Linked DNA regions of Notamacropus eugenii. Each later gene encodes a partner of the first gene's protein in a complex. Links are inferred from orthologs where the notes say so. Each region holds a gene or a part of one and is shown on either strand. Other genes may lie near its edges. The genes, in order: AAK1 and PDLIM5.

What was found.
Region 2: the proteins of AAK1 (region 1) and PDLIM5 are in contact, whole or in part, in a crystal structure (PDB 9F6S), measured with the Homo sapiens proteins. The link is inferred for Notamacropus eugenii from reciprocal best matches to the Homo sapiens genes AAK1 and PDLIM5. Residues at the interface, in NP_055726.4 of Homo sapiens: Asp956, Leu958, Ile959, Asp960, Leu961; in NP_006448.5 of Homo sapiens: Ala12, Pro13, Trp14, Gly15, Phe16, Arg17, Leu18, Phe24, Gln67, Ile70, Lys71.

The regions. Positions count from the first base shown.
Region 1 is NC_092872.1:633,957,612-633,968,462, reverse strand, and holds the start of AAK1 (AP2-associated protein kinase 1), read left to right. Parts: upstream 1-5,826; 5' UTR 5,827-6,114; coding exon of another isoform or gene 6,115-6,138; 5' UTR 6,139-6,233; intron 6,234-10,851. Other genes in the region: ANXA4 (annexin A4), read right to left, coding at 6,115-6,138.
Region 2 is NC_092878.1:131,764,099-131,775,877, forward strand, and holds the start of PDLIM5 (PDZ and LIM domain protein 5), read left to right. Parts: upstream 1-6,617; 5' UTR 6,618-6,739; exon of another isoform or gene 6,740-6,790; intron 6,791-8,141; exon of another isoform or gene 8,142-8,242; intron 8,243-10,535; 5' UTR 10,536-10,577; coding exon 10,578-10,673; intron 10,674-11,779. UniProt on the Homo sapiens protein: May play an important role in the heart development by scaffolding PKC to the Z-disk region. May play a role in the regulation of cardiomyocyte expansion. Isoforms lacking the LIM domains may negatively modulate the scaffolding activity of isoform 1.

The DNA.
Region 1 (10,851 bases):
CCAACTGAAGGTCAGCTTTGTATCCACTACAACAGTGGTGTCATACTCAAATACAAATGGGGAAAGGGCACTAATCTGTACATAAGAATCCCCATGGACCACATATTAACTTAGTTTTAAAATATATCATCAAGGGGCAGCTAAGTGGCACATTAGATAAAGCACTCAGCCTGGAGACAGAAGGACCTGAGTTCAAATCTAACTTACTAGCTGTGTGACCCTTGGCAAGTTGCTTAACCTTAATTGTCTCCAAAAAAAATAAACAAAATGTAATATCTGTGTCTCACTGTGTTGTTTTTTTGCCTGTTTTGTTAAATATTTCCAAGTTATGTTTTAGTGTGCTTCAAGTCTCCCTCAGGAGTGTCATTAGCTATACAGAAAGCTATGACCCCTTTGCACTATGCCACATGTCGTCTCATTTCATATCCAGGAAGTCAGTCACATCAATCAAATAATAAAAATGAATTAAGCATGAAGTGCCTATTATGAACAAAACAATGATATTTTTAAAAGTCTGATATGACATAATTATGTAACAGCCGGTTATCTCTCTCCCAAAAACAGATTACAAGAATTTTGTATGCGTGTCCCCCAACAAAACCTAAAACTTCACATATCCAGATGGAACTCAGCCTTTTCCCAAAACTTCAGTCTCTTCCACTTTCCTGTTCTAGTTGAAGACACTGTCACCATTTCAAGGTTAGAACCTCTAACTCATCTCTGACCCTCCCTCTCCTTGGAGATCCCAACACCCACAATCAATTTTTAGCTCCTATGATTCTAGCTCTACTATCTGTCTCATCCAGGTCCACTACAACAAGCAGGATGTTGCAAGACTAGTGTGATAATCTTTCTTCCCTATAATTGATTATAGGGAATCATTGATCATAGTCCTACCTTCTGGATCTATTCAATTCAACACATTTTTTTAAGTTCTTACTATGTGTAAGACACTATGCCTGGTGCTGGGGATATGAAAGGAAACAATCCCTGCCCAGGTAGAGCTTATGATACAATAGAATACAGAGATGAATAAAAAGCCTGAGAGACAGAGTTTTGGGATAACTAATAATTAGGCTAGCTATGATCAATAAATTTTTGGTCAGTGGTTTCTCTAGATAATCAAAGACAACGCCATGGAGATCTTTGAAAGCTTAAATACCTTTGGAAAAGGAGATGCCCCTGACAGGTGAAAATCAACCCTGATTGGTGAACAGTTCAAGAGGGGTGGGTCTATTAATAAGGAGGTAAGCTAAAAGTCTTCCCCTGTTCCTGCTGAGAACGTGGTTACTTGATCACGAGACTCAGCCACTTACAGCAGTCTGGACAAAGGAATTTATCTCTACCCAGACTACTCTGGTTGATTTTCTCCTTGATGAGCTGAGTTCCTCTAGACCGCAATGAAGGGATGCAAGGGTATGGGCTCAATGCTTTGGGACTATAATACACCTAGATTAGACTCTGTAGATCCCTCTAAGCAAAAGTAAGGTCCCCTAATTGAGTGGGGTCCACCCAAGACCATGGAGCATGTACCCCAAGGATTGGGCCAATCTCATCTGTCAGTCTTGTCCTTCAGAGACTGGCTGAATGACCTACAAGGGCTGATTCCTGAATGCAGAAATAAAAAGGAAAAACCTTAATCTTAATTTAATAATTGGTTATTAAAATAATAGAAAAATAATCTTACCCTTCAATACAAAGAAATGAGTGAAAGGAACAAAGGAAAGATCAAATTATTCTAGGAAAAATTGAGAAGACAGGAGGTACTAACAATGAGAGGATCAAGGATAGTGTCTCACAGAGGATGATGGCCCAAGCTCTACCTGAAAGGTAAAGGATTCTGAAAGGTGAAAATGAGGGGGACTGTACTTTAGGCATGGGGAAAACCTATGTCAAGTTATTGAAGCAGGGGATAAAATGTCAAGGCCAGCGATTAACAAACAGCACCATTTAACTAGAAACTAGAATGGGCACAGAGGAATGATATGAAACAAGTCTGGAAAGGAAGTTTAGAGAAAGATTGTAGAGGCTCATAAACATGGGGTCAATGAAAGTTTCCAATCAAGGAGTGATATGGACAGACATGTCTTGGGAAGAATATTTTTGTAGCTTTGTGAAGGGTAGATTAAAGAGGAGGAAAATAATGACACAATTAAGAGACTTTAAATAGTTGAGACATAAGATAATATCTATCTGAGCTAGGTTAATAGCCTTGTCAGTGGAGAGGAAGAAGCAGTTGGGAGAGATATTATGGAATTAGAATGTGGGTGAGGTGGACAATGTGTGCAGGGTGAATCAAAAGCCAGATGGAAAGGGACTAAAGAATGAATTGGTAGTGAGGAAGAAGAGGCAACAAGTGTAGATAATTTTGTTTACAAATTAAACAGTGAAAGGGAGGATATATGCACATCTGTGTGTGAGTGAGAGAGAGAGAGAGAGAGAGAGAGAGAGAGGAGAGAGGTCATCTGCTGAGAGGGTAAGGGGCACTGGGGCCTTAGGACAGAAGATTTGGAATAGTCAACTGAAGGAGTGTGATGATAATTAAATGATGTGAGAATTATGAATAATCTCTCTAAGGGTTAAATTGAGGCATTGAAAGTCACAGTGAGGACAAAGAATAGGTTTGAGAAGAGCTAGGGAGATGGAGAGAGATAAGGTCAGGTGACCTTGATCACAAAGGGGAATTTTAGGAGGCAAGATCAGGGAAGCAGAACAATTTTAAATGATGGGAAGGTCTAAGGTGTAACCAGTCCTGCAGTTAGCTGAAACAAAAGAAGTCAAATCCCTCTTCCATGCCAGCTTGTTGAATATATGAAGACAGCGATCATGTCCTTCAAAGTCTTCTTCAAGAAGACTTTAAATATCCCCAATTCTTTCAACAGCAAAAAAAAGTACTTAACTAATGTTTGGTGAATTAAAAAGTTAAAAAAAAAATCTGACCAGTATTTTGGCAACCACATTACACTGCTGAATCCAATGAATTTTCAGTCAACTAAAATCCTTAAATCTTCTTCACATGAACTTATGTTATTGATATTGATATATAGATATAGATATAGATATAGATTGAGCAGGATAGAACTGAAGACAGAACCTTGCAGAGATTTTAGCAACCTAGCAATTGGGGAGCTGGCTGGCCCACTGGTGCTGAGGTCAGCAGATTCTCCCATGGACAGTTCCACTCCAGAAGGGCAGAAACCACTTGCAGAGTATATGATGGAACACCCAAGCAGAAGGTTCTGATGATAATGGTGAGATTAGTCCACTGCCACTATTCATCAACAGAAGAGTTATATAGGATGTTCAAGGAAGATTGGCACTTCTGGTATGAAGACTTTGCTGAGCCCTTTTCAGGGCTGCTTATCCTCCTTTGGGGTCTACCTAGCACTCAACCCTCACCTGTGGCTCCAAGAAGCTGTTAGTTTGTATTAGCTAAGTTAACACTGCAGTTAACACTGTAGCAAGTTAGAGGGATGTCTGGAAAATGTCATTCACATCCAGAGAAAGAAATATGGAGTCTGAATGCAGATTGAAGCATACTATTTGCTCTCTTTTGTTTTGTTTTCCTTTCTCATAGTTTCTCCCATTTGTTCTAATTCTTTATACAACATAACAATGTGAAAATCTGTTTAGTAAGAATGTGTATATAGGGCCTATATCAGATGGCATGCCATCTTGGATAAGGGGGAGAGGTGGAGAAAATTTAAAACTTGTGGAAGTGAATGTTGAAAACTAAAAATAAATAAATAAATGTATTAAAAAAAAAAGAAGAAGAAGAAGAAGAAGAAGAAGAAGAAGAAGAAGAAGAAGAAGAAGAAGAAATTCTACCTAGTGCTGGTTTTCTAAGATCAAACAAAAAAATCTCTTTTTCACATGAGGTTCTTTCAAATACTTAAAGATGACAATAGTACTCATCTCTTCCACCCCCCTCTTCTCCCAAAACCTTCCCTCTCTCCAGGTTAAAAATCCCGTATTAGAGCCACAAATGCTGATTCTACTTCCCAGAAAAAGCACTACAAAATATTTCCTGGATGACAGCCCGAGAGGTACCCTCAAACAACCTTCTTAATACAAATATAGTAGAGGTAGGGTTGGGGAGTAATGGAGACCTAAGTGGAATCTTGGACCTTGGAGAAAAAGACCCAAAGACAAGGAGACAGAGAGACCCAGGACACCAGCCTTGATAGAGGTTCAACTTCAGGTCATTAGGAGACTGCTGCAGAACAAATACCACTGGAAGGGATAGTGAAGTAGAGACATGCTGGCGAAGGACTCACCTGGGTTATGGTCATCAAGGGAGGAGGCCTGCCACTGATAGCTCCTTATTTTAGTTAATTATTCTTGCTAATTAGGTACTGAGCTCAGTTATTTCTACTTTCAGAAAGTAGTCAATTGCAGGTATCACCCTTTAAATTTCTCTGCTCAAGGGCCTAGTTTTAGTCACTCTACCCTAGTTAAAATTCTGACCCAGTTCCTTCAACTAATCCTTTTATGGAATGATATACAGTCTTTTGTCATCCTGGTCATGCTTCTTGAGACATATTCCATCTTGCATATGCTTTTGTGTGTTTTGGGGTTTTTTGTATATGCCTCTTAAAATATATGATGGCACCCAGAGAATGTAGACTTTGGAGTCAGGCAACCTAGATTCATATCTTGCCTCAGCCTTTTCATACATGTGTGACCTTGGGCAAGTCACTTAACATTCTGGCCGTCAATTTTTTCATCTGGAAAATGAAGGGATTGAACTAGATAACTTTCTACAGATTCTTTTAGCTATGATCTATGATCTTATGTTATCACAGACAATTCCAACTGTGGTCTGACAAGGACATCCAGTCCTCAAAAGTTTTTCTTTCACAGTTTCATAGATTTAGAGTTGCAAAGGACCTCAAAGATTATACTAGATAGAATTATTTAGTATAATCCATTCATTTTTCAGATTGAGAAACTGAGGCCAGAGAGTTTATAAAACTTGGTCATACAGGTACTAAGTGGCAGAGCTAGGGAATGAATCCCATGTCTTCTGGTTCCAAACTCAATGTTCTTTTCTGTTGTACCACACTTTAAAAAACCATCATTTAAAAAGCCAGTCAAATTTTTTTTTAATTCACAAAATAAAACAATGAAAGCAAAATTGATCATCTCCAAACATTCAAAAATCAAAGAATATCTGCTCTAATATTACTAGTTAAGGCAATACATCTAGGACACTTCTTAACTAAAGGTAATAGGTTGTCAACCTTATTTTTTGGGGGGGTGGGAGGAAGAAGGCAATCTGTGTTAAGTGATTTGCCCAGGTTCACACAGATAGTAAGTGTCTGAGGCTGGATTTGACCTCAGATCTTCCTGACTCCAGGGCCAGTTCTCTGTCCACTGTATACCTAGCTACCCTGAATTTATTTAAAAAAAAAAAACAAAACTTCATTATCTTTATTCTCCCTCAAGATTAGCAGTTTTTTTCTACCCTGGTTTCTTCCTTGGTGGCTTGTGTAGAGGCTGAGTCTGGTGAGGATATTGCTGGAGATTAGCTAGAGGCACGGCAATAGAATTGTTGGAAGCTACCTCTCCTTGAATTTTTTCTGCACTCACTTATCAGGGTCCTGGCCAAGACATTCCTAATCCTTCTCTACTAAGAACTCCAGATTTTTTTTTTCTAAATCTAAATAACTTTTACTTCTTTACCCTTTACACTCTTGTTGAAATGGTTGACTACCTGTCCTCCTCCTCATTATGTTCTGCAACCTTAATTATGCTGTCAGCTGCTGCCAGTCAAGTTGTGAGAGAGGTGAGGGCCACAGAAAAAATGGAGCCAGACAAAGCCAGTCTGAAAAGCTCCGAGAGACTCTACAGTTTCCATTGCTCAGTGGATTTGGAAGAAGAGGGGGAAGAAAAAAATCAGACCTTTTCTTCCATTTACATCTCTTAATACCTGCTGCAATTCCATGATGGTGGTAGACTGACATAATGATGGTAGACTACCCTTAAACTCTAACTCTTAGGAAGAAATTCTCCTAATTAAAACAGTCAAGTCCCAAAGAACCTTTTTCAGCACCCCTATACCTACTGAGAGTGGTTATCATTTCCTCCCATCCTCTCCCGATCCTGAGTTACCTTCACCCAGTGGTTTCCTAGCATCACTGTAACAGGACAAATGAAGATGGCATTGTAAACAGAACAATGTTTCCAAGGCAACCACCTGTACAATTCAGAGCTTCTTAACCAGTAAAAAGGTGAGGACTTTCATTTTCCTAGAATCCTCTCTACCTCCCCACCACTCTCTTCCACCTGCTTTTCACCCACCTTACTTCTCATGAATTGTGATGGTATAGGGACATTTTTTAGCCTGTCAACTATAAGAAGTCCGTTTTTACCCTGCTCTCCTTTGGCTGATATTATCAGGAAACACTTGTGCTTGGGGTCATTTTTGTTTTAATTATGAGTTAAATTCTGGATAGAGGTTGCCCATTCATCATTTAGGTGTGGGTGTATGAGATGACTGAATTTATTGTGGAACCGTATATAGTAGTAAAGGTGGGGGCAGAAGGAAATAGAAATTGGAAGCAAGGTGATTGAGAAAATACTTGGTCTTGGATTCAGAATATCTGACTTCCAATTCTGGCTCTGCTACTTAACAGAAACTACATATAGATATGTGTAAAGCACATATTATGTGAAAGTCTTCCCTACTTGTGTGTCCTTGGGGAAATTACATCACCTCTCTAGGCTACTCCTCTCTCATCTTCGCTCTTTCTGTTATAGGTATCACTCACCATCCAGTCACCAGTGTTGTACATTGACATTATCCTGGAGCTTTAGTTTCTCTTCACCCCACATGTATATTCACACATCCAGTTCAAAACTATGCCGTTTTCATTTTGGTTATCCTCCTCATTCCCTTCCCACTGTAACCAGAACTCTGCCCCTGGGACCTTGGACCCCAATAGGTCAGCTCTTACCCTTCCTTGCCCAGAATCAGACTTCCTATTACTTTTCAGTCAGTTTCCTACTAGTCTAATCCCCTGCATCCTTTCAGCTCCCCTTTATGTGTTGCCTTACCTTATTAGACTGTTCACTCCTTCAGGTCAAGGACTATTTACTTGCTTATACTGGTATTCTCATCACTTAGCACAGTGGCAGACGCAGAGGGGTATGCCAGAACCAGCCTGAGAGCCCCTGTGAGCTGACTGTTAAATTTTCGCTAATATGATTATTGAATGTCTTTTATTCATTTATTCTTTCAAGTTGATGCCAAATATTGTCATTTCTCCCTTACATTTTTGACATGTCTTTTTTTCTCTAGACACAGGGCCACAACCCTAGTTTATGCCCTCATCACCTTTTGTCTGGACTGTTGCAAGGCTTCCTAATTGTCTTCCCTACCTCATTTCTTTCCCCTTGCTAATCTGTTCTACATGCAGCTGTGAAATTGATTTTCCTAAAGTAAAGGTCTGACCATGACAGTCCCCCATTCAATAAATAATTACCTCTAGAATAAAATATGTTAGTCTGACTTTTAAAGACCTTCACAACCTGGTGACAACTTACATTTCCAAGGTTATATTATGTATTTGCTATGGTGGACTCCATTAGATTATGCCACTCACTTTAAGTAATATCCCTTGTTAGGTATGAACACTTTTTATTGACTTAAACAATTAGAATTGAGTGTGAACAGGGCCTAAACAGAGCAGGTACCTACCTGCCTCAATCAAAGCCATTTTTTAAAAGACAGGATCATGTCCTAAGGAATTTGCTTAAAGGAAGAAGCTAAGTATGCAGAAGAAAAGATTCTGAGGGTCTAGATTCAAGAGGCTGGCCTTCCAGCATACACCTAAGGAGCGAATGAGCTGTGAAAGAGAAGGATGCTATGTAAGAGAAACATCAGCTCTAGAAAAGTTTGGGAGCAGAGGACTTATGCTAGGAGAAGATCTAAGAAAAAACTGGGCTCATTCCCCAACTTCCCCTCCCAGTCTCTGCCTCACATTCACTATAATATAATCTACGTTTTGTTACACTAATGTTTCTAGTGAATTGAATTTTGTGTCAACTTCAAAGAGGCTGGGGGGTTAACTTGTGCAAGATATAAACGTAAACTTTGGTTAATATATTAGGAGTTTTCCAAACTGGGGGCTCAGAGTTATTGTGATGGAACTCAGAACTTTTCATCTAAAATCAATTCCCTATTGTTGGAGAAGAAAACTCCTGGACCTTAGGAACCTAAATTGGATCACTCCAGGTTTAAAACAAACTAATTATTATAACAGGGCAGTACTTACTATGATGTGGCCAAACTAATCGTGCAGTTCTTCATATGTGACATTCCATCTTCCATCTTCATATCTTTTCTTGAGTGTGGTCCAGGTATTTCCTCTCTCTTTACCTTCTCCTCTTTGAATTTCTTGTTTGCTTTAGAACTGCTCAAAGACCACCTTCTACGTGAAACCTTTCCTCATTCTCCAGTCACTAGTGTCCTCTACACACACACACACACACACACACACACACACACACACACACACACACACACACACACACACATTTTACCTAGTATTTATTCTGTGTATACTTTTTTAATGTCTTAATTATGTACTGATTGTCTCTCTTATAGAATATAAACTTCTTGAGGACAAGGACTATTTCATTTTTTGTTTTTGAATCCCCAGTGAACAAGAGAGTGCCTGAAACAGATACTTCATAAATACTTGCTCATTAATTAATTGATTTCCTTATCTGTAAAATGAAGGGATTGGACTAAATAATCTCTAGGGCTTCTTCTAGCTATAAATTCTATATCTTTGATTAGCTGCAGAATCACATGTGATAATTGATGTGGCTTAGGTATGCCTTGGTAGGTGTCTTTGGTTTCCTCTTTGAAACAGCCATCCATGATGGGCTTATAACACAGCTTTCCACAAGTTAAACAAAAGTGGATACCCCTTAATTATTTGAGTAACTGGGAAATATATATTTTGACCACCAGGTGGCAATACCATCAAGCCACCCACCTAGTGGTTTTATCAGTAGGTATTTAGTGAACATGGGCTAGTTTTTCCAAAGGTAAAAGTATCCTATATGGCAATTGTTCATAAATTTTCAGACCACAACCCACTCCCACCACACCAAGTTTCTTTGGGCAATTTGCCCCCAATTCAATATAGATCTACATGTATGAACATGAAATATACAGTAGTTCTAAAATATTAAGATTGTTGGAAACCTCTAATTACTCCTGTTGAGGGAATTTGGGAAATCTGTTCTTGTTGACCAACTGAGATCCAGACAACTGACTTTTTAGCTACTACGTGATTTATTAAAATATGCAAAGAAACTATCAGATAGCAAAATTGTAAAGAAGCTATTTAAATTGATCTACTAATCCTGATCTCCCCACTTATAGAGGAGGAGGACAGGAGGGTAGAATAAAGGAAGGGTTCATGAATTTGGCACTCATTGAGATTTAAAATAGCACTGCCTTTGGAATTCAATTTTTTAAAATGTACGTTTAAAATTAATTTTGCACGTAATTGAAAAAAATTTTAAAGAAGGAGTAGCACTGCCTCTGAAGTCAGAAGATCTGAGTTCAAATCCATACATCTGATGATTACCACTTAACTTCAGTGGACATCAGCTTTCTTCCTCTATAAAATAAGAGGGTTAGAGGGGTTTTTAACCTCGGGCTCAATAAAAAAATTTTTAATAACTGTATTTCAATATAATTGCTTCTTTTGTGATCCTGTGTATTTTATTTTATATATTCAAAAATATTTTGAGAAAAGACTGCCCAAAGCATCTGCGACACAGGAAAGGTTAATAATCCCTGGCTGAGTATAGTGGTATACTCCTGTAATCCCAGCCATCTGAAGACTGAGAGTGGTGAATCTCTTGAGTTTCTGTGGACTATGCAGATCAGTCCGTGCTAAATTCAGCATTAATATGATAAGCCTCTGGAGTTGGGGGTGGGGAGCACCAGGTTGCCTAAAGTTAGTGGTGTACTGGTAAATATTTAACAACTTGTCCTCCCCCCAAAATGTACAAATGATATATTTTAAACTTTATCTGCCTTATTCACATTTCTCCATCACTTTCCGAAGTCTAGTTAAGCAGTGTCTAACTCAAATAGATAACTGCAAAGGATCCCTGCTGCCCTCTGACTTGAGAACCACATATTAGCATTATCTGTGTTCTGTTGTGTTTTTATTTGTTTTGTTAAATATTTCCCAGTGCATTTTAATTTAGTTCTCCCTGCGCTAAGGAGTGCTGAAGGGCATATTTGACCCCTCTGATCTAGACTAGTAGTGTCAAATTTAAATAGAAATGAATTGTGATTGACTGTGGTTGACTCAGAAAAACACCAGTTAACATTATGTTGCATTGTGGAGCACTTGGCCTGGAGTGAGGACGACCTGAGTTCAAATGTGACCTCAGATATTTACTAGCTGTGTTACCCTGGGCAAGTCACTCAACCTCCATTTGCCTTAAACCACTGGAGAAGGAAAAGGCAAACCACTCTAATATCCTTGCCAAGAAAACTGCATGGTCCACAGGGTCATAAAAACTCAGATACTATTAAACAATAGCATTAATAATATGTTGCATTGTATTTTAAAATTTATTTTGTTAAGCATTTCTCAGTTACATTTTAACTTGATTCTACAAAGGCTGGAGTGTTGCCCTTCTGGTGACAATTAACAGAAGAGTAGATCAGGCCCTGACCTGTGGGTCTGGCAGTTTCTGAGGTGTAAATGCTCATACTGAAAACTTCACAATAGCTCTACAGGGTCAGATGTGGCTCCAGCACACACCCCTGTAAAGCAAACTGTCTTGGGTCAGAAGCAGAGCAGGTTAAAG
Region 2 (11,779 bases), on another chromosome or scaffold:
CATCCCATAGCATTAGCCCTTCAGCTAGTCATGGCTAGAATCCTGTTCCTCCTATATTTCCACATGGTTGCTCCAACTGAAACCAGGCAAGGAATATCTGTGAATGCTTCAAGGACAGTCCCCTTCTCACTCCCACCTTTCATAGACCAGTTCAGCCCTATTATTGAATGCAATTGTAAACACTCACTGCAGTCTTTCCTTCTCATAATTAAACATTCCTGTTATTTTTGTAGCTGCCACAGGAGAATTTTGAGTCATGCATAAAATAATAAAATGTTAGAACAAACATTTGCATTCTTACAAAAACATTGTTTTTAGGTAGAAAATACTCTTAAAATATATTCTTGTTAACCTAGTTAGTCTATAGGGAATACTTTCTGTTATTTGAGTTTTTCCAGATTTGTGTGGTAAATTTTAAGGACTTCAAAGAAGTTTACTGGTTTGCCATCTGCACTGGTGGAAGGAGTGTCCACACCAGTGAGCTCGTTAGGATCCACTGGGAAATGTTATTTTAGTTGTATTTATGGTTCAATTGATTATTTAGTAAGAGCATGAAAATAAAGAAGATGGAACTAGTTTGATTTCCATTCATTCACTGAATTCATTCAACAAACATGTACTCAAACAACAAATACTAATCCCTTGCTTTGTGCAGAGTACTTTGCTAGGTTCTAGGGGACGCAGAGTTTAGTATCATAGATGTAGAGTGGAAAGCGACCCTACAGGTCATCTAAAGATTATCTAGTCAAACATACCCCTTTACAGATGAAAGATTTGAGACAGAGACATGATAGTGTCATTCATTTAAGGCAGGGAGGTGAGCAAACTGAGGCACAGAGATGATAAGTGACTTGTCCAAGGTCATGCAGGTAGTAAGCAACAAAGACTCCAGAGTTATCACTCTTTCTGTTATCACACTGAGAGGTTAGGTAATTATCTAATGTCACACAGGTAGTTAAGTGGCAAACCAGGGATTTGAACACTCAACACCAAATTCAGCACTCTGCCCATGGCATCATACACCACTGTATCCTTGTGAAGTTTTTCAGTCAAGTTACTACCACCACCATACCTGGCTTCTACTAATGTACTACAAAAGTGTCTGCTTTCTGCTAGGTGATCACAAGGTGGTGAGAGGGTAAGAGTACGTTAAAGACTGTAACTGATGGTGGGGAATTCCAATTGTTTACACACCCTATGAAGTCTAACAGGTTTTCCCTATTTAGCAAGTCTAAATGGGAATGGGATTGGAAAGTGGTATTAGAATATCTTCTCTGAAGGGGGACTCAAAGAAATTTCAGACCCTGAACCCTAAGGTATTGGTTGAGTTCTCCCATTAATCACCTACAGGGAGTCCACCCAACATACTAGAACCTTCTTCTGGATCTCTTGATATTGTGTGGCTACCGGTCGAGCACATGGTCTATCAATGGTCCCCCCATCTTGCCTCATGACCAACTCTCCTTTTCAGATTGTACATCTCTCTAATTTCATCTTCAATAATGCTTCTCTAGAGAAATTCTTGGTTGGCAAAGGGTTGTGGCCTATTCTCATCTACCATGCACCTCTCCCTTGCCCTTGGGTGGACCCTCAACTTTAATTCTTCGGAGACCTTGATATTCCATGACTCACAGTTATGAGACATCACTTGAATATTATTTTAAAAGATAGGCTTTTGTTTCAGAAAAATCTCTGAATCATTAAAAATACCTCATGGATATGGTGGGGGGCAGTGTCCATGGGTCTAGAAAATTATATACATGTCAAATTTTCCCTAGGCATTGATTAGTTTTGCTGATTGGTTTTTTTAGTAAAATTTAAAAAAGACACTGTGTGAGGATGGGATTGGGAGTGGAATCAGGCACTGAATGCCTGTCCTACGTGTAGAGTAACTCCTATATGGATGTGCTGCATTTGTGTACAGAGCCTAAGTTATTACCTAGAGACCTAATATTTTCATCTTCCTCAGGCACCAGAATATCAGAATTATTAAAGATATTGACCCTCTGAGAGTGAGAGGCAGGGAGTCTTCACTCCTTCTATACTCAGCCATCATACCCCTAGAAGGGAGGGGGTCCATTGCAACTGGTCCTTCTATGGTAGACACATTCCCAGATTCTAATACTCCTATTCCTGTGCTTCAGGATCAGCAAACACTGAGGCAAAAAACTGTGCTGTCTCTTCTCTTTCTCTATACTTCTGTGCCTCTTCACCTCAGCCCTACCCCATGAACAGCTCCATTAATTTCAGCCTACCTTTTTGCCTTCATATTCTGGAATTCTCACTTTTATTGGGAAGAAACTTCTTTCTGTTTTAGGGCTCCTCACTTTTCACATTTTCTTAACTTAACAGAAAGATGGCTTTCTTTTGCTAGAATAATCCTCTTCTTCCTGCTCTTTAACTATTGGTATTCCCCAAGACCACATCCTAGGTTCTCTTTTTTTTCTTTCACTATTCAGTCTTTCTCTAAGTGATCTCATTAGCTCCCATGTATTCAGTGAGCATCTCTATGCACTTGACTCCCAATCGACAAATCGACAAATATAAACCCCAGTCTTTAGAGTCCTACATCACCAAATGCATATCGGGCATTTCTCGTTGGGTATCTGTCCCAAAGGCACATCCAAAGCAGAACTGATCATTTCTCCTTCCCCTCCCCCTTCTTCCTAACTTCTCTATTTCTGTCAACAGTACCATAGTAGTAACATGGATTTAAAACTGAAAGGGACCTTAAAGGTAGCCCAAACCCTCATTTTATAGATGAGGAAACTGAAACACAGGGAGGTTAAGGAGATGGGATAGTTAGACAGATAGATACAGATATAGATATGTGTGTATGCACATATGTAATATAATATAACAACATAATAAATATAATGTAACAATGTAATTTAATATAACATAGTTTAATATATATTATGTTTATATATCATATATAATTTAATATACATTACATATTAATATATAGTTATATATAACATAAATATATTATATATAATATAAATATATAATGTAATAAAATATGTAATATAAAATTATAACTATATATAATATTAAAAATATTATATATATAAAATATAATTTAATAACATACCATAATATAATACAGTATAGTATGACATGATATAATATATGATATAATATGATATGATATATTTGTGTAGTCAAATAACAGATATGTTATCTGAGTCAAGATCTGAATCCAGATCTTTCTGATTACAAGTCCAGTGCCCTAGTCCACAATACCATGCTGTCTCCTTCCTCTTGTAATCACTCAGGAGCCCAGCCTCTCTATTATCCTCCCCAAATCACTCTTTCCTAGTCTGCATATCCAATCAGTTGTTGAATCCTGTCAATTCCACATATACAACATTGTTCATATCACAATCACTACCTTCTTTCAGGTCTTCCATCAGTTCTTACTTGGACTATTGCAATCACTTCCTAATTGGTCCTCCTACCTCCCTTCTCTCCCATCTCTAATCCATCTTCCACATCGATGCCAAAGTCATATTCCCAAAGCCAAGTTCCAAGCATGGGACTCCCCTGCTCAAAAAGCACCAGTATCTCCCTCTTACTTAAAGAATAAAATAAAACTCCTCTGGCTTTTAAAATAATTCACAATCTGGCTTTAATCCATCTTCCATTTTCATTCTCCAAACTCTCCGTCACTTATTCTAGGTTCCTGCTCAGTTGGACTATTCTGCATTTGCCCAGGCTGTCCCCAGGCTGGGTTTGCACACTGCCTCCTCACCCCTATCTGTTAAGATGTCTAGCTTCCTTCAAGGTTCAAGGTTCAGCTTAAGTGACAGTTCCTAAACTAGGGTCCATCTTGACTCCATCCCCTTTTGTTCTGCCTTCCTCCTAAATGCTATTTTATAATTTTTTACATATTTATATTTCTTTACCTATGTGGATGTTGAATCCCTTCAATTGAATATAAGCTCCTTGAATTCAAGAACTGTTTCATTTTTGTCTTTGCACCCCTAGTCCCTCTCAAAGGATATGGCACATAGTACCTGCTCAGTGCTTCTTGAATGAATGAATGAATGAATGAATGAATGAATGAATGAATGAATTGCTTCAAGACTATGTAATTTAACCTCACATCTACACATGGCTTTAAGGTCTGCAAAGTGCTTTTCTCCCAACAGCTCACTGACATACAGAGTACAAGTATTTCAACTTCCATTTTACAGGTTAGGAAATTCGGAGTTTAAGCGATGCTGAGGTCTTCTGACTCCAAGTCCTTCTGTAACATATCAAAATATCCAAATGCAAAATTATTTAGGCATTAGCCACACTTATTCACACATTTAGACACATGCTGCTCTTTGGCTAGATATTGGGCAGCACTAAATAAATATCCGTATAGAAGCTGGGAAATAAGTTAGTAATTCAGACAAAGGGAGGAATTAGTGACTTGAGCATAGCACCAAGAGAGACCACCAAGCCTGCCTCTGATTTCTACCAGCTGTGTATTCTCAGACTTCTAATGTCTAAAACTGAAATAGTAATGCTTGTAGTATCTAACTCACAGAGCTGTCCTGAGACTCCAAGGATAGAGCCAATAAAAAAGATTTTATTGAGTACCTACTGCTAGCACTGGGATGCTCAGCAGACTCAAAAGTGAAACAATATTTGCTCTCAGGCAGTTTATACTCTACTAGGGGAGACTATATTGCTATCCACACGTAAATCAACAAAGGAAATTTATATTTTGCCCCTTTGAAGATCAGCAAAGTTCTTTCCATACCATGATGGATCTGTGATCTCATTCCCTCCAAAAATGCATGTCAGTCTTGTGTATGTGTATGTTAAGAGAAAAGTAAAGCATATATCTATGTGTAGATATAAGAAGAGGGACTGGCATGTTATTTCATGAGTAAGGTAAGGTAATTCCCTCTGTTGTTTCAGGTTAGCATCTTTTATGGAATTTACAGCCCTGAGAAACACCTCCAAGCCTAGGAGTCATCCTCCACTTCTCACTCTCACCCCTTCATATCCAATATTTTGCCAAGGCCAGTGGATTTCATCTCTCAAATATTCTTCTCTCCTCTTACTGTCACCACTCTGGTGCAGACCCTGATTACCTCCTGCCTGGACTCTTCAACAGCCTGCTAGTGGGTCTGCCTGTCTTTCTCCACTCCTATCAATCCTCTATTCAGCCACTAAAGTGATTTCCCCAAAGCACAGGTCCCAGGATGTCACCCCTTCTATTCAATAAACTTCAGTGGATCGTTTTTACCTCCAGGATCAAATACAGAATCCTGTCTGGCATTCAAAGACCTTCATAACTAATTCCTTTTTCCCCTTTCTCCCAAAAAAAAAAAAAAAAACCCCTTTCCAGTTTTCTTCTGTTTTTTCTAGTGAGACAATCAAAGTTGACTTGCCTTGAGTCACACATCTCTGAACCATTAAGCATCTGAGACTGGATTTGAACTCAGGTGTTTTTCTCCCTCTGGGGCCAGTACTTTATCTACCAAGCCGCCTGGCTGCCCTCCTTTCAGTCCTCTTACACCTTACCCTTTCCCACCATTTTCTCATCTCTTCATCCACTGACACTGCTGTTCCAGAACCAGATCTCTAGCATTTTCTCTGGCCGTCCTCCATACCTGAAATGTCCTTCCTCTTCATCTCTGCCTACCGGTCGCTCTGGCTTCCCCTCAGTCCCAACTCAGACCCCATCTTCCCACCTTCTACAGGAAGTCTTTTCCCGCGTCTCAATTCTAGCGCCCTCCCTAATTAGTTCTCACTTATCCTATATAACTTGTTAGTACATATTTGTTTGCTTTTCTCCCCCGCTGAGCCCCTAGAGAACTGGGACTATTTTTTTCTGCCTCTTTTTCTTCTCCAGAGCTTCGCCCAGTGCCTAGCACATGGTGAATGATTAATAAAGGTTTATTGACTGTTATTGTCTGAAAATCTAAGCGATTTGCCCAGGGTCAAAGGCTGGACTAGATGCTGACCAGGTCTTCCCTGATCAACTCTACCCACTCACTACTTCTCATATCTAGGGAGTATATGTATTTGTAATATAATGTTACGTATTTTCCATAAATGATACGAGGCCCTTTTCAAGCTATACAGTGTGATACAATCACCAGCGATCGTTATTCTCCCAGATTTCTTCACTCCTGGGGGAAGGTGGGGGGAAGAGGGGAACTGTCACCCTTTCTTCATCTGAAGTATGGGATTCCTGGCCTTTTCCTTCATTGAAAAGATACTGATTGTACCAAAGTTCTATGAGCACACTGGAATCTCCTGTACTATATAGGAGGGGATTCCCTGAACTCGCATGGCTGGGGAAATCTTAGCCATCGGCATTTCCATTTTAGTAAAAATTTGATTACTTTATAAATACAAGACATACAGAGAAAGAAACAGAGCTGCGGAGGAAATGGGAATCTTTGCGATGTGCCACTCTGGTTTCCGAGGTAGGAAGGCTGCGCTTCAGATGCCCCTGGCCACCTTTCCCCTCCTGGAAGGCTTTTTCCTAGCGCAGCTATTTTCCCTGTCCATTTTCCCTATACTGGAGACACACTTCCCGATCCCTGGAGGGGAGTGGCCCCGGGAGCCAGCAGGGCCGAGGACTTCCCCCCTGGGCCGGGACGTGGGAGGAGCCGCGGGAGAAAGTGGAGGCGGAAGTGCCCGCTAGGAGCCTGGCTCAGCCGCCTTGGGAGTCCGTCACTTGTCAGCGCTGCCCCGCGCCTGAGACAGCGCAGCTCCTGCCCTGTGGGTGAGTGCCCGAGCCCGGCTCCCGGGAGGACTAGCGGTGAATACCCTAGAAGTGAGGAGGCAAGGGAAAGGGGAGGCGTGGAGGAGGACAGAGGCGCGAGCGGTCTCAGTCCCGCAGCGGTGCGGGGTCCTCAGGTGCTCAGCCAGGCTCCGGCGCCAGCGGAGAGCCTTGTGCCCTCCGGAGCGCATCGCGCCCGAGCTGGCTGTGGAGGGAGCGCGGGGAGGTGGCGCGATCACCGGCAGGGAGGGCTGTGGCCGCTGCCCGGGGCCCGGGGGCGGAGAGGGAGGGGCCGGCGGCTACCGTTTGGGGAGGCTCGGTGGGAGCCCGCTAGGGAGTGGGAGCGCGGGCAGGCGGGCGAGAGGCGGCGGCGGCGGCACCTTCGCCTACCCAGCCCAGCCCTGCCCAGCCTAGCCTTCCCGAAGCGGAAAGAGCCTCCGGGCAAAGCCCCAGAAGCCTCCCCCGCTCGGCTGTGCCAGCCGGTCAGCCTGTCAGCCCGCCCGCAGCCATTGGCTCCTGGGCACTGCCTTCATTTACACTTTTTGCTGATTATTTTAGTGGGTATTTCTCTTCTTGGGGGTGGGGGGTGGGGAGAGCAGGAGGTTGTTTATTTCCTTTCCTTTGAAATACACATGCACATGAATCTGTCTCCGAGAGTTGCTTTTCTTTTGCAAAAGCGAATTATTTACAGTTGTGTAACCTGTTTGTGGCCAGTTCCAGCTGAACCGGCAATAAAGTAAATCCTCATTAATAAATTTTGAAAATACAAGCCAGTAAGGAAGCTCCTTGAGGTCAGAGGCGTTCAGTTTTCTCCCTATTCCCAGGGCCAGACAGAGTGCCTAGCATTTAATAAATGCTTTTTGCACTAGTCTGAGCTACAAATGCTTTTTTTTTTTAAGTATTAGGTATTTCTTTTTAAGACTTTGTCTTTGACAACAAGTGGGAAAAAATAAAAGGGTAGAACGAGGCCGGGAAGAAATAAGTGCTCAGAAAACAAACTCATAGCTAAGCTGGGTTGGGCAGGTTTAGGGTGTGATCGCTCGATCTGATCCTCGGGTTCAAGCTTCCTGACTGTCAAGGCGTCTGAAACCAGCCAGCTCCTGCGCCTTATTTGGCCAACAGGGAGAAGCGGGAGCCTGCCTTATGGAAAGCTGCCTGGCCGACCTCTTTCATCCTGTGCCTGTAGCTTTTTAGCCCTTCAGCTGTAACCTCCCGTGTTCTTAACTCTCAACCTGTCCTAGGAGGTGTTTTGGTAGAGCAATGAGTTTTTCTGTTTGGATCGTTGTTTATTTTCATTACCTTCTGGTAAATGGGAGGCTTTTTTTTTCTTCTTAAAAGACAGCTGGAATACTGGAAGTGTGTGGGATAGATACTAAGCTTCCTGTGTGTGTATTGTTCCTTACAGGCTGCAGCCACTTTACAGATTGTTTTGACTTCCCAAAGAACCCAGATCCATACGAAATCCAACATTTTTTACATTTCTAAATTTAAGTTCCTGTCTGCTGGGTATGTTAAGTTTGGGGGGAGTTGTCATATGATGGTTTTCATGATACTCTGAGAAATTCCAATAGTAATAACAAGACTTAAATATATTTTAAGGTGAGCAAAATATGGAGGAAAATACAGAAAATAAAAGTACAAAGCATATCTTCTTTGACATTGCTGGTACAAAATATTTAACAGTGAAGGAGAAAAAAAGGAAACCTTAGATTAACTAATTGTACGCGTTTATATTCACATTACATGAGTTTTCATGCAAAGAATATTAGAGGTCAGAGGAAGTTGAACCAATTGGAGCTATTTGTACCTATAAAATACAGAGTCAGTTTTTTACGTGGTGGGGAAAGACGTCAGCATGTGGTTTCTGAATTGGCATTGCCATCTTTCTTTAATCAATGCAAAGAATTTCTTTTTTAGAAAGGGGAAAACACAAGTCATGTAGCTCTGCTTACTGCTTTTTGCAGTTAGGAAATATTCTCATATGTGCTAGAAATTCTTCCAGTTATATAGGGAGCCTGCTCTTTAACCATTTAGGCATTAATTCAGCATTACTTCCCTGGGGGGGAAAGTAGTCTAAAATCCTGTAATCTGTAACCTAGTTTCATCTACTTAACTTTGATCCATGGCTGGGCATCTTCCAAGATTTCCTTGTATTTTCTGCTGTCTTTTCCTTTATGGAAAGCAGAAGCTAGTATGAGGTAGATAGGCAGTTTTTGGTTTTAGGACCCTCAGTGATTCGTATTTGTAACTGTGATTATGAATATGTCATAGATACAGAAATTTAGATCTCTTGAGATCCTGAAAAAATATTTTAGAAGTGACTGTCAAAAATATTGTAAATGCTTAAAATTGATCAGCAGTCATCACTACAAGGGAAGTGACTATCTATCTAACTATCATCTATCTATCTAGATATAGATATATGTATTTATACACATGTATATGTATATATGTAAGTACACACACACATATATACACACACATTCACACACATTTTTCCCTCTCATTTTTAAAAGTTTCACATGGTTGCTTTAAAAAAAACAATGTGGCTTAAACCTTTCCCTACTCCCAAATAATCATATAAATGTGCAGACTTTGTTTCTGTAAATTCAAATGCAACATAGGGCTAATAGTGGTTTAAACAGGGGCACACTGGAAAGCATTTTATCTTGTAGGTTATGATTCTCCCATAATTTCTATATTAGGCATCTGGCATCTGTTTTATAGTAATCATAGGATCATGGAACTGGCAAGATCTTCAAGGTCATCAAGTCTAAGCCTTCACCCTACTCCCCCCAAGACAGTTGGGGTTAAGTGACTTGCCTAGGGTCACACAGCTAGTAAGTGTCAACTGTCTGAGGCCAGATTTGAACTCCAGTCCTCCTTACACTAGGGCGGGTGCACTGTGCAACCTTGTGCTCTCCTCCCCCACCTTACAAATGAGGAAACTGAGGCCCAAAGGAGTTAAGTGACTTGTCCACTTTATGCACACTGCAATAAGTAGTGGAGCTTGTATTTGAAGTCAGTCTTCTAGCTTGTGGTAGATTGGGATGCGCTCTTAACCTTTCCAAAGACTTGCATTCCCTCTCATTTTCTCTCTTCCCCCTCCCTTCCAAGACCCTGACAAAAATGTCACACAGCATTGCCTATTTGGGAGGAAAATTGCTGTAGACTTTGACAGCAAAATCCTGAAAACACAATGGATTGCAACATATAGTTTGTTAATTGTAGTTTTTTAATGGAAAACAATTTGAATGAATTTAGTATTTGAAAAGCAGGGTACTGAATCCCTCAGATTTACAGGCTGTAGTATCCTCACAGGTGTTACGGGGAACTCAGAATAACGTCGAACTGAAGGCTTCTTGCCAACTATAGTCAAAAGAATGAGGTGGATGTGTGTTAGGAGATCATCTGAAATTAAGTCTGAAATAGTCTTTCTCTTTTCAAATATGCATTAAAAGAAGACTGCAAAGCACTTTTCAGTTACAATTTTATAAAAGAAGCCACATGGAATAAAATTGGATTTCAGCAAGTTGTAAAAAATGTTCATGTCTAGAAATATATTCTGGGGTGGAATTTTCATATTATGGAAACTGGCAGACCTGTAGTAATTACATTTAAACCCTTGGATCCCTTTTCTTAGATGGAAATTTATGAGAGTTTAATATCACTCCCATTTTATACACACACACACACACACACTCCTAAACATTATTATGTTTCTTTAAAATAGACTACTTAAAGATGACTTAGGTTTTTCAATAAGCCTTTTAAATAGTTATTTAATTCTCCTTCATAGGTGCTTTTATTACCCAAAAGTAAACTTTGAACCACAAGAACCATGAGCAACTACAACATCTCCTTGGTTGGCCCAGCTCCTTGGGGCTTTCGACTTCAAGGTGGCAAGGACTTCAACATGCCTTTGACCATCTCTAGTGTAAGTATATTTTTACAGCTTTTAAACAAATGTTCATTGCATCATATGGTACTTAATTGGTAGAAAGAAGTCTTTCTGTGAATGAAACCATGTATTGAATATACCCACCATTCATACTGTAGAAGGTTTGTCTCTCATGACACGGACATACAAGTTATCAGCTATCCAGAAAGAATGATGAGGGTAAAGAAATACACAGATTTCACCAAGTCACCATTTTTAGTGATCAGTTTCAATTTTTGTCCCCAAACATCTTATCTGAGGCAAAAGTGTTACTTTACACAATAGGAAAGACACTGGGCTGAAAACTTGAGTTCTACCCCCAACTTTGTCACTAATTATTTATATGACTTTGATGAGTCAATCTCTGTCCCTCAGTATCCTCATCTGTAAAATGAGAAATTGGTCGAATGAGATGTTTTGTGAGATCCCTTTATGCTCTCAAAATTCCATGTTGATCACCTGGGGAATCATAGAATTTTGGAGCTAGAAAGGGACCCTATAAAGTCTGACCCCTCTCATTTTATAGATGGGGAAACAGTAGCTCATTTCACTGTAATATATCTCCTCTCATCCTGGTGGAGATGATAGTAAACAGTGAAATGACCAAAACTCAAGCACTCTTCTGAAAATTGACTGTTTGTTTTTTCTTATAATATAGATGTATATTTTTAAAAATATATTTTGGTTACATATTTTTGAGAGAATATTCCATTCTAAGCACATACTGTGTTTTTATCCATTGCTACCCACATTAGATAACGCTGTTAATTGATTTGGTAAATTGTGCAGCTTAATTGATTTTTACAGTTTAAGAATAATTCATATCCTCCATTCATTTAATTTTTTTTTTTTTGAGGCAATCAGGGTTAAGTGATTTTCCCAGGGTTACACAGCTGATAAGTGCCTGAGATGAGATTTGAGCTAAGGTCCTCCTAGCTCCAGGGCTGATATGCCACTGTTCCACCTACCTGCCCCTCATTCATCTGATCTGTAAGTGATATAAAAACCATTCTAAGAATAGAAAGAAGAATGGACTTCTAAAGAACTTGAGTTTGAATTCTTCCTCCACATTCTCACCACTAGCTGTGTGACCTTGGGCAACT